Linked DNA regions of Oryza sativa Japonica Group. Each later gene encodes a partner of the first gene's protein in a complex. Links are inferred from orthologs where the notes say so. Each region holds a gene or a part of one and is shown on either strand. Other genes may lie near its edges.

Evidence for each region. The genes of interacting proteins can lie anywhere in the genome.
Region 2: ribonuclease E/G-like protein, chloroplastic (region 1) and SAP-like protein BP-73 share a complex: the UniProt entries of both Arabidopsis thaliana proteins name them as parts of the chloroplastic degradosome-like complex. The link is inferred for Oryza sativa Japonica Group from reciprocal best matches to the Arabidopsis thaliana genes RNEE/G and RHON1.

The regions. Positions count from the first base shown.
Region 1 is NC_089042.1:14,235,740-14,241,050, forward strand, and holds part of ribonuclease E/G-like protein, chloroplastic, read right to left. Parts: intron 5,043-5,311; coding exon 4,725-5,042; intron 4,621-4,724; coding exon 4,579-4,620; intron 4,201-4,578; coding exon 4,076-4,200; intron 3,588-4,075; coding exon 3,440-3,587; intron 2,010-3,439; coding exon 1,937-2,009; intron 1,127-1,936; coding exon 1,014-1,126; intron 890-1,013; coding exon 770-889; intron 275-769; coding exon 119-274; intron 23-118; coding exon 1-22. UniProt on the Arabidopsis thaliana protein: Involved in intercistronic processing of primary transcripts from chloroplast operons. The endonucleolytic activity of the enzyme depends on the number of phosphates at the 5' end, is inhibited by structured RNA, and preferentially cleaves A/U-rich sequences.
Region 2 is NC_089037.1:4,370,240-4,376,335, reverse strand, and holds the start of SAP-like protein BP-73, read left to right. Parts: upstream 1-2,464; 5' UTR 2,465-2,560; coding exon 2,561-2,582; intron 2,583-5,050; coding exon 5,051-6,096. UniProt on the Arabidopsis thaliana protein: Binds to and supports processing of specific plastid RNAs. Associates via its C-terminal Rho-N domain to single stranded regions of 16S and 23S rRNAs or to rbcL mRNAs. May be involved in targeting transcripts to RNases such as RNE or RNase J.

The DNA of each region.
Region 1 (5,311 bases):
CACGAGCAAAACCTCTAGCGATCTGCATTAATTATGTTTTTAACAAGTTTCAAAAGCAAACGACAACACGGTTAAAGAGTCATGATGACATGCAAATGAAAAAGTACAAATAGCATACCTTCAACAAAATCCACACTTTAAGAGAGCTGCTGAGGAGCCCTAGTTTTGTTTTCTTGCCTGATGTCAAGTACGTGCACATCTCATGGTCAACCCTAAGAACAAATCTGGGCCATGATTTTGGTTTCTCAGGGTCTGATTTATGTCCAGAGGCAGCCTGATCCATTAGACAAGGTTAAGAGGAACATTTTGTTTTTAATAACAAATAAGTTAAACACTGATTATACTATTTATAGCATGGAGTTCTAGCTTCTGGTTGTCTACATGGAGATATAGTAACATTTGGAATAAAAGACTTCATACCAATATCAACAAAGTCATATTCGGAACCAATATCAGCATGAAAGAATACAAGCAAGCTGTTTCAGTTTAACAGATTGTTACTGCTGCTTGAATTTTGTCTAGATTATCAGCTGCATACTGGTCAGTGCATTCCTTTAAACAGTACTACATCCCTCCTCTATGTTGTTATTGACAATTAGTGTTCGAGTGTTAAATTAATATATACTACCAAAGATTTTATATGATGAAAGTATTGAACCAAAATCTAGAACTATACGGTCAAATCTCAGAAAGTTCAATAGCAAGGATTTGAGGATGTCAACTAAAAAATAATTGAGAGATTGGTAAGTGGTAAGTTTGTAGGACTTACAAGGCGTCGACAGATTTCACGCTCTATCTTCGAAAAAGAAGTATCAAGAGCTTCCACACGGCCAATACCATGGCAACAAGGACACGGCTCACTGATCATGAACGTAACACTTGGTCGAACCTACAAATTTCAGTCAAGATTATAGACAGTTAAAATATCAATTAATTGATGGGTATCTATATTCTCGTAAAGTTGAATTCTCCATAGTGGACAACTACACACATCTGAAGAAGTGCCCACATACCCTTTTTCTAGTTATCTCCATCAAACCCAGCTTTGACAATTCTGAAACACCAACTGTTGATCGGTCCTTTTCTACTGCTTTCTTCATTTCTTCAAAAACTAGTTTTTTGTTTGCTGGAGCAAAATGCTACATTAGACCAAGAATGAAAAGAAGGGAGAGAGAGGGGGAAAAGGAAAACAACAATGTGGAATACAAATACAACGCCACAAGGAAAACATCATGATCAGACATAGCTCAGTCAGAATCTAAAATCACAATGAAACAACAAACAATCATTAGTATCATCTAGGAGTATAACAGAGTATGAAGGACGCACAACTGGTGGAAATGCCACTGTGGTAGTGGTACCTGTCGCAGTATGAATTAATAACAGTAGGAAATTAAAAACTCAAGAAATTTTCAATCAAATCCAAGAAGACTCAATATATAAGCTTAATTTGATGGCACATAAATTCAAAACAAAATATTCCCAAATCATGGAAAGAATATCCAGATAAGAAACAAAATATTCCTATTGTGAAGATATTATAATTGTATCTTAAGTTGTGATATGCTGGCTGAATCTTACAAAGGTATGATGTATGTTTGAGTACAGAATGTAGAGTCCAGTACAAGGGTTACATAATAAAGTGAGATTTCAGGTCAATAAACATCACCACATGTTAGGTGCATGACAATATGCCAAGGCACAAGTTAAAAAGTTGTATTCAAATGACAAATTTTAGCAAATACTTAATTAAACACCAGGCAGCAGAAAAGATACCCATGTACGATATAAATTCCTATGAGAATAAAAAATCAACAAGTTTTTTAGAAAAACAAACAAGCTAGCTGCAAGCATAATGGAGCATACGGCATGATGAAATGCAGGTATGAGGAAAACCATTTCACACTATAATTAATTCTACAAGTTGATATCTTACTATCATCGGTCATATCAATAAAATCCACAACAATAATGCCGCCGATATCCCTCAAGCGCAATTCACGAGCAATCTGCATTCAAGAAATTTTGCATCATATTCAAGTTTGAAATTCTAATAAATGCATTTCCCCACTCGAATTCGATGTCATCTATGAATGAGTCACTGTTAGCCTATGGCTCTATCAAAATCCTGTTATTTCATCCTGCTTGTTTGTGAGTCATGGATGGGGTAAGGGTCTGAAGACTTTCCCTAAGATACTGCTAGAGTACCACGTGTAACAGTACAACGCCCAAAAAATTGAAGAAAGTAATGACTGACACCAACATTGATCTATCATTCCACAAAAAATTGATTATAATCTTGTTCCGTAGACGGAGAAGCATCCTTTTTTTTCGTTATGCAAAACAAATTTTTGTTTGAATTTTGTTTCATGACAAATCAATTTTCTGTCAATGCTTCAAACATTTCAGAACCATTTCAACATAATTTAAAGAGGATGAACCACGATGTACCACCAGATATTTTACCATCTTTCTCAAGGTGCCTATTGAGTGACAGCAGGATTCTTTTACATTATTACCATAGCTCATCCGACATGTCTGAGTAGCTCACTCATTTGGGCATTTTGCCTAGCGATTTGGTAACCAACATGCATCATCAATATAATATTAGCAAATAGCTACATGTGTGAGTAGCTCACTCAATAGAGTATTTTGCCTAGCAATTTAATAACCAATATATAATCATGAACGAGAAAATGAACTAGTATCATGAATGTAAATGTGTTTATGAGCATGTGATTTCCCGGGATTAATATAGGCTAGTAGAAGACTGATCTATAGCTAACTGAGTGACGTTAGTAGACAGCAGGGACCCAAAAATAAAGATCAGAATGGCTCTGGCTTTACATCTCCAGGGAAGGGATTGCGGTCAGTAGGAATTGGATTCTGCTGGCTTCCTGCCACAAACTATGGGATTATGGATCATACTGTGAACAGGGGTGAGGAATATAGAACAGGAGATGAGATAACTAGCGTCTATTCCTTTCTTAATCCATAATGGATATGCTGAAGCCCATATGAAAGGACGGCTATAACTTTAGCCTAACAAATCAAATGTTCAAGTGAAAAGAACTTAATCATAAATTGTTGTATCAGATGTTAAGGAGCTATCTCACTAACTGCTTACACCTAGAAAGCTGCTACGCAGCTTCAGAATCTGTGCGTGAACTGATGGCCCCACATAGCAGCTTGTCGTTCTAGATACTATACATGTTTTTTTTTTCTTTTTTTTTCTGGTAGACTTTTGGTGAAAGACAAATAGAAGTACTGCCAAGTGCATCTCTTAGGAATTAAAGCATAGTCAGCTGAAAGGTAAATGAGTAAGACATACAGTAAAACGTCAAAATAAAAGGTGGATTGGATTCTAGATAAGTAAAGAAAAATAAGGTTTGAAAGCAAATATACTACTTTCCAGTACGAAACAGAACATGGGACATACTTGTTTTGCAGCTTCTAGGTTTACTTCTAGTATAGCCTTCTCCTGGGACGTCCCCTGACCAAACATACTATGACCACCATTTACATCAATTGAAACCAGAGCTTCGGTCTGCTCTATAACTAAAGAACCGCCATTATGTAGTGGAACCCTGCAATAAAAGAGCACTAACATATCATACTACAGAAATTGTATCATTTATACCTTTAACAGAAATGTAAGTTAATAGTGTGTCGTTCATAAGCTTTTTTTTTCATCGGGCTATAAATCTAGGCCCACGTCTGACACATCATGCCAGGCTTGCTCAATTTTACCAGGTCAGGCTACCATGAACAGGTCTAGGCTAAGCCTAATCACCATTAGCGCAACTGCCAGCCACAAGCTCATGTTGAACATGGCACTCGTTATCAGTAGAGCAGTCTTATTTCTGACAGCTCCCTTGCTTGTCAAATGGTGATATGCAATTTGTAGTCTAGGAAAAAACCAGGTCCAGGTAAACCAAAATTACTTATCAAAGTAATCTATATTACAAGATGTGTTTTTGTTCTATGCTAAATGGTTGATAAACATTACAAAGCAAGCAAAAGAATATGTAGCAATGAAGCTATTTAAGAAACAAATGCAACAAAAAAAGTATACCTTTTGCACAGAATATTGTCAATCTCCTTTTCTATTTTATATTCATCAAATATAGGAGTTCTTTTTTCGTAAAGATCAACTCGATTGCAGAGCTCAGGTGCAACTTCTTGGAGATAGTTTGTGACCTAAATATGCATAAGCAAAAAAAAAAGAGTTATAAGCCTGAAAAATGTAATTCCTAACCAGAAAGTCCAATAGCATACAACAGTAGACAGTAGGTAGGCCAGGAACGTTCTATAGACATAAGGAAAAACTAGTGTGCAAACAAGCATGCGCAACTATCATTACTTAATCAATCAACATACACGCCTGAAAAAATATTAGTCATTTTGGAGACAGGTTTCCAAGTGGCTAACTGCTTTGAACAGCAGGACTAACTGACATATAGAGATTGGCCTTTGGTCCATAGAACACACAGCATAGAATCATGGGAAGGGAAAATGAATCACAGGAAATGGATACAAAGCTTAGACTAAAATTGGATTAGATTTAAGGTTTCTCACCTCATGGTAGGTGCGAGGAGAATCCACAACTAGCCTCTTGACCTAAGTGAAGAATGGCAGTAATTCAAGAATACAGTAAAGCATTTGAAAACAAATCAAGCAAAGAAAAGTATGCTATTGATTTTGCTATCTTCAAATAGTATCACCTTCTCATTGAAATCATCTTGAACAACAGATAGAGCCTGACCCTTTGACCTATGCAACATTACGGGAACAGCACCTTCTACACCCTCCTCAGCTGCTAAGGCAGCAGATTGAGCATGCTCAATTATTCCTTTCCAGGTAGATAATAAGCGATCAAGATCCTTCTGCAACTCCTCCCAAGAATGGCCAGCAGCAACAGTACGAGCTGTCAGAGTAAATCCAGGAGGTCGTAATAATTTGGTAATGCCTTTTAATCGGGTGCGCTCTATCCCAGTAATTTTTTTCGATACTCCAACTTTGTTACCGCGGGAAACCAGTATCTGCAAATTTGAAATGGAAGGGTAAGTTACAACTTACAAAGTTAACATGAACATCCTTTTTTTACTTGACCATCAATGCAGAATGCTACAAACCTCTTTTTTCATGGTAATTTTTTGCAGAAAGTTATGAATCATTAGCAAATAATGACATTGAATAGATAGGTGACTGAAGTACATATATATAAGCATACATTCTCTGCAGACAGCATCATTTATCACCAAAAGATTTACATGGTGCATAAACTGAAGTGCTTGTATGTCTCTATTCC
Region 2 (6,096 bases), on another chromosome or scaffold:
TGAACGAAAAAAAAACCCAATTGCACAATTTGCATGTAAATCGCGAGACGCATCTTTTGAGCCTAATTACACCATAATTTAACAATGTGATGCTATAGTAAACATTTGCTAAATAACGGATTAATTAGGCTTAATAAATTCGTCTCGCACATTACAGGCGAAATTTGTATTTTGTTTTGTTATTAGTCTACGTTTAATACTTTAAATGTGTGTCCCTATACTTAAAAAAATTTTAGCACACGAACTAAACACATCCTTTATCTGTTGACTATAAACCATTTTGTGCCTTTTGTGTGTGCATTGGTCCATGACACATGGATGACCATAGTGAGATTAGTACTGCTGAAATTGTGTTCATCTAAGGGGGAAAGAGGGAAAGAGGTTGTTGATCAGAGTGAGAGGATGGGGAGTCTAACTGTCTACGCTCTAGTACTTCCTTCGCATGATAAGTTAATATAGTACGGAATATAATATATCCCAGTACTATAAATCTGGACATACATCCGCCAGATTTGTAATATTGTGATCTATCACATCTAACTAGATTAATTTATTTTTGGATAAAGAGAATAAGAAAACTAGACTGGAAAGCCTAACATGGGATCTTCTGCGAGAAATGTGGTTTTCTACGTGGTTTCAGCGGTTTTTGCCGCGGTTTTACGTAGTTACACGTTTGCGTCGTTATGTAAATAATATTAGGGTATCGTGTTTCCTACCAGAACAAAATAATTATGTAATATGTGGGTGTTTACTTTCCAGCTCATCATATGATCAAGCATCACGTTATATAATACTAAATGATTGATCTTTTTTATGAGAAACCACACCATCATCATTTGGAAAACCAAGGTTGAAACAGATGTTGCGGTTGTGTTGATGGATTTGGGGGTCGTGCACACGGTGATCGATAGATGCACGTCTTCACGCGCTAATTATTTTTGGTCAAGACTCAAGAGAGCCAAGTATAGAATAGCCGACAGAGGCATGTTTGGCTTAATTAGGCTGAGACCATGACAATTTTTCAGAGAGTTTGCTGATGATAATATCCGTCGTTTTAGATGCGGTAATATGGTACTTAGTAAAAAAAGGAGCCGTGGATATGATGATATTATCAAAAGAAGTGAGCCTCTTAAGCTCCGTAGACTAGTTAGTTTCCTGACATCCATTAATTTGCTAAGTCGATGATGTGGGAGAACTTAGCACCAAATTGTCTAATTTAGAGTTTTGACTACAACAGAAAATGAAGTGGCATTTTATTTTATTCCGGTTACTTTGTTTATCATTATCTCTAAGAATAATTTATTGATATATGAAAGTTATTTCAGTACAATCGTCAAAAAATATTTTCAATATTATGATTTTACTAGTTTAAAATAATTACTCGGAATCCACGCGGCGTTGTTATAGTACATGATGTGGATGGACGTGTGCGTATATATCGACACGGTGCGAAAATTGCAGTAGTTGGTAGTAGTATGTTTTAATATTTAGAAAAGTAAATAAAATATCACGAGAATAGAATTTAAATGTCTAAGTTCTGGAGATGGCACCGTCCATTTTCAAAACTTTTTCATAAACATTATGCTGATCACTGTCATGTCGGTTAGCTGTACGCCTGTACTATTTGTCTATTTTCAGAGTGTTTTAATGGCTTCTAGTACTATTTTTTTTATTTTCCTCAAAAGTAGCTCATTTTATTAATTATACTCGTAACATATTTTAGTCAAACTTTACCAGACAATATCCTAACTTCGCATTTCTAGCTATATGATACTATACGATGTGATTTTCGGAAGAATACACTCGATAAAACATGTGGGCTGACATGACACGGCCTGTCCAGTGAACCATATCTAATCGGGCAGTGCCCACTACCCAGACATGCATATTATTATTTAGGGTTATTTGTAAAATTTGTCCATATTTTTTTAATTTTGCAAGATGCTACTCGAAAGACAGTTCTAGTAGTATTTTTACAATTTTTTAGTGGCAGTGTTGCAATAATAATTAATGATTTAAACCAGTGGCAAATTTGTAATTGCCTTTATTATTTATTATCCACCATCTCAATCATATACTCCCTCCGTTTCTAAATATTTGACACCGTTAACTTTTTAGCACATGTTTGACTATTCGTCTTATTAAAAACTTCTGTAAAATATGTAAAACTATATGTATACATATAAGTATATTTAACAATGAATCAAATAATATGAAAAAAATTAATAATATTTAGAAACAGAGGGAGTAATAAATAAAATCATGCAATTCCGAATAATAAAATAAAATAAAAATCTACCATCCCAAAGGTGTCCTATATGTTCCGTTTGGAAAATAGAATTAAGCTATGGATACTTTCTTTTTTCAGATTTGCACCGTTTTGGAGGGGGATAGGATATGCAGATTGAGAGTGCTTGGCGAAATTACTAAATTACCCTCGCCGTTTTTGACGTATTGTTTTCGTGAGTTATCCGTTAGTTCGCCCGCCGCCGCCGCCGCCGATCCCCATCCATCCCGCGAGGCGCGAGCGAGCAGGGCGCCGTCGGCGCCGTCGTTCGTCATGCTGCTTCCGCCGCATCCAGGTGAGCACATCCTCCGCCACCGCCGCCTGCGCCGATTCCCATCCATCCATCGCTCGAGCGAGCGAGCGGGGTCGCCGTCGCTTGTCCTGCTGCTTCCGCCGCATCCCTTACGACGCACATCCTCTTGTCTCATCTCCCTCTCTCCACCCACGCAATTTTTTTTCTCGAATTTGCGTTAACCCTAGCTTCGTTGTAGTAGAAATTTGCCTTAACCTTAATACTAACAAATGTTTGTTCCGAAAAAAGTTTGGGGTTGGGGGGGGGGGGGTGGGGTTCAACTTAACCCCTATGTCCCATGTCAGATCCGCCACTGCTTTATTGTGTGTGGCGCATTGTCTCTTAGCTCTTTTAAGGAAAACTAACTATCGTTCTCTATGAAATCTGGCTCGCATTTTCTTTCAAAAAATCTGGCTCGCACGCACTGCTGGTGTAAATATGATGATACATTGTAAGAATGAAATATAGAGTTATTAAGTTTAGTTTCTTTAGCAAGTTATTAATGATTCATACACTGTTTATGAGTGTGCCATTTTACCCAGGTTTCCAAAGGCTGCTTGCTGGCACAGCTTGGAGAACGTATATGGTTAGAACAGTGAAAAAGGCTTTAAAACCAAATGAATTATTCTGTTTCCTGTCATTTCCTTTAAATATCACGCGATCCAAACTTCTAGCCCTAAGTGTGGTAAGAAATCACTGTAGGATGATGCATCCTCACAAGCCGTAGAGCAGCTTGGGAAAAACTGGAAATTTAAAACTGTCTTAGCTAAAGGAATTCTTGCTGTCCGCATATTACTTTCATGGTTAATTTGGTGTCAAATTACATGCTTATCAGCATTTTTAGTGCTATATGTCTGGAAGCACTATATACACAATGATAAATGAGGTAGGTAGTATAGGCTACTAGACCTCTTGTTGATGTCTAGTTCCATTTTGTCATGAATAGGAAATGCTAGTGCATCAGGATAGTGAATATTCCTCCGGGAGAGATCAGACGGTGACATCTTGAGGTAGAAGAATGATAAGTGAAATCTATTGAATAACACATGAATAGAATTTCACTCTATTAGGGTCCACTAAGCCAAGGCTAGATATGTTCTTTTCCATAGCAGCTTGAAAACACCAGCCGTTGGTTATCTGTTATGTACTATAATATATACTGCCTCTGTAATGTTGGTACCTCCATTTGTAAACATGATGGTTTGGAGATGGGTGGGGTCCCCAATAATAAAAGACTATGTGAATAACTCACCTTTTATGTGAAACTAATGGTATCAATTTCACATCACCATCTTAATAGAACTTTATATATCAGTGGTTAGAGTTAAAGAAGTATATCTGTGGAGATTCTAAATCATCAATCATTAACTCTTTGTACTTTGAAAACAGACATATGGATGTGTTTTTGTGCATTGAAAACCTGTTTGAACTTAATTAGATGATCGGTTGGTACTGTTCTTGCAAGTTTCCTTAGCCCCATTCTTCTTGATCAAGGTTTTCATCTACCTCTATCTTCCAGGATGCATTGTATTGAAAAAATGTTTCAAATCTACTTCTAGTTAGGTAGGTAGACTTCCAGCCTTTATTTTCCTCTCTTTTTGCTATCATGTTTAAGAACTCAAAGCACAATGGAACTTGTGGCTAAAACTCACAGCCTCACTGGCAGCGTGATAGAAGGCTAACTGCTAGTGCAAGTAATGCTGAGAGCAAACATTATATGAGTGGGCATGGTATGTTTTACCAGAGTAATGCGCTTGATTAATGGGCTGAAATTGTAATGAACCTTCACATGGACATGAAACAGACCAGCTGAAATTGAATGGCTTCTTCTTCCCTAAATTGCTTTCTTGATTTCCCTATTACAGCTTCCTCTGCCCTGCATTCATCCAGATAGGATTAAATTGTTAAGGCACATAGCAGGTCTACATTAAATGGCCCATACATTTTATCCAAATCTTACCCATATGGGTCAGATGTGTATGATTGTATGCTCTGATCTGTAGCGGCTTATATTTTTCCTTTTAGTTAATTGTAACCGACAAGCTGGGCTCCACATGATATTTATATGTTTTGGTAATGCAACCTTTTCGTAAAAGAGAACTATTCGTTATTTTAACATACAAACACATCCTTTTTCATTTCATTTTTTAGAAGTTAATTACGTGTGAATGATCATAGCAGGTCATGTATGTGAACACTGCTGACTCAACATGAAACTGCCACTGATAAACAAATATAGAAAGAAGGAACTGCTTATGGCACTATGATTTTTTTAAAAATTTTATGCACTTTATGTACACTTGTTTTCGCATTATGGGAATGGGGTGAAGTGGAAAAAGAAAGTTGTGCCATGGCCATCTGTATGTCCAACTTCTATGTATCTATATATCTTGTGTACTGCGAACCCTTCAATCTGAAACATTTAGTTTTCGTCCTTATTCATTACTATGCTATTGTTTCTTGGGTTTCAGGCAGAACATTACCAGCCTATCATGGAGACAACAGATTTCTTCTTGGAGCTTGTTTCCTGAGTAAACTGCCTATGCTGCGCCCAATGAAGTTGTCTTTGGTATGCAGTGCTAATCCCAACAACCATAGGTCAAGAAGTTCGGATATCACACGCCATCAGAAGGGTGGATCAGCTCGGAGGAAAAGTAAGCCTTACCAGGAGAAAGATGACTCTGAGAATATTGATGAATTCGATACTGATATTATGTCCTCCAAAAATGGACCACCCATCTCTTTGACAAGCAATTCCCGTCCTCAAGCAACATCAGTCCCAGGGGAAAGAGAGAAGGAGATAGTAGAGTTGTTTAAAAGGGTTCAAGCACAATTGCGAGCAAGGGGAAAAGGGAAGGAGGAGAAGAAGCCTGAACAAGCAAAAGCACAGGGTGAGAGGGGCAGTGTTGACTCCCTTCTAAATCTGCTTAGGAAGCACTCAGTGGACCAACGAAGGAAGAGCGGTGATGAGAAAGAACAGAGTGTTGACCAAACAAAGAGAAGCAATGAATCTGGAAATAAACAAAATTCAAGCATCTTCATAAAGAATGACACTCAGGAAGAACAGAAAAAGCCACATCCTGCAGCCTTCAAAAGGCCAGCTTCAAATTTTAGGCGAAGATCCCCTGTTCCTAATGTAAAGTTCCAGCCTGTTACCAATGTTGATGCCGAACGAGTCATCAATAACATCAATGATGCCGTACAAGAGGCTAAGCCAACTTTGGAAAATAAGGCTGCTACAGATGAACCAGACTCGGTTTCTACATTCGAACCTAATTCTGTAATAGAACCAGAAAACCTATCTTTGGATGACCTTGATCATATTTCAGATGATGAACCTGATGCTTCTGATACTGATGAACCCAGTGGAGAATATGATGAGCCATCTTTGCAAATCCCAAGTGTTCCAATTATTGATGAATCTCATGATACGACTCTGAAATCTTCCTTAGGAGGTCCTGATTTAAGCACTTTGAAGGTCACAGAACTAAGAGAACTTGCGAAATCTCGAGGAATC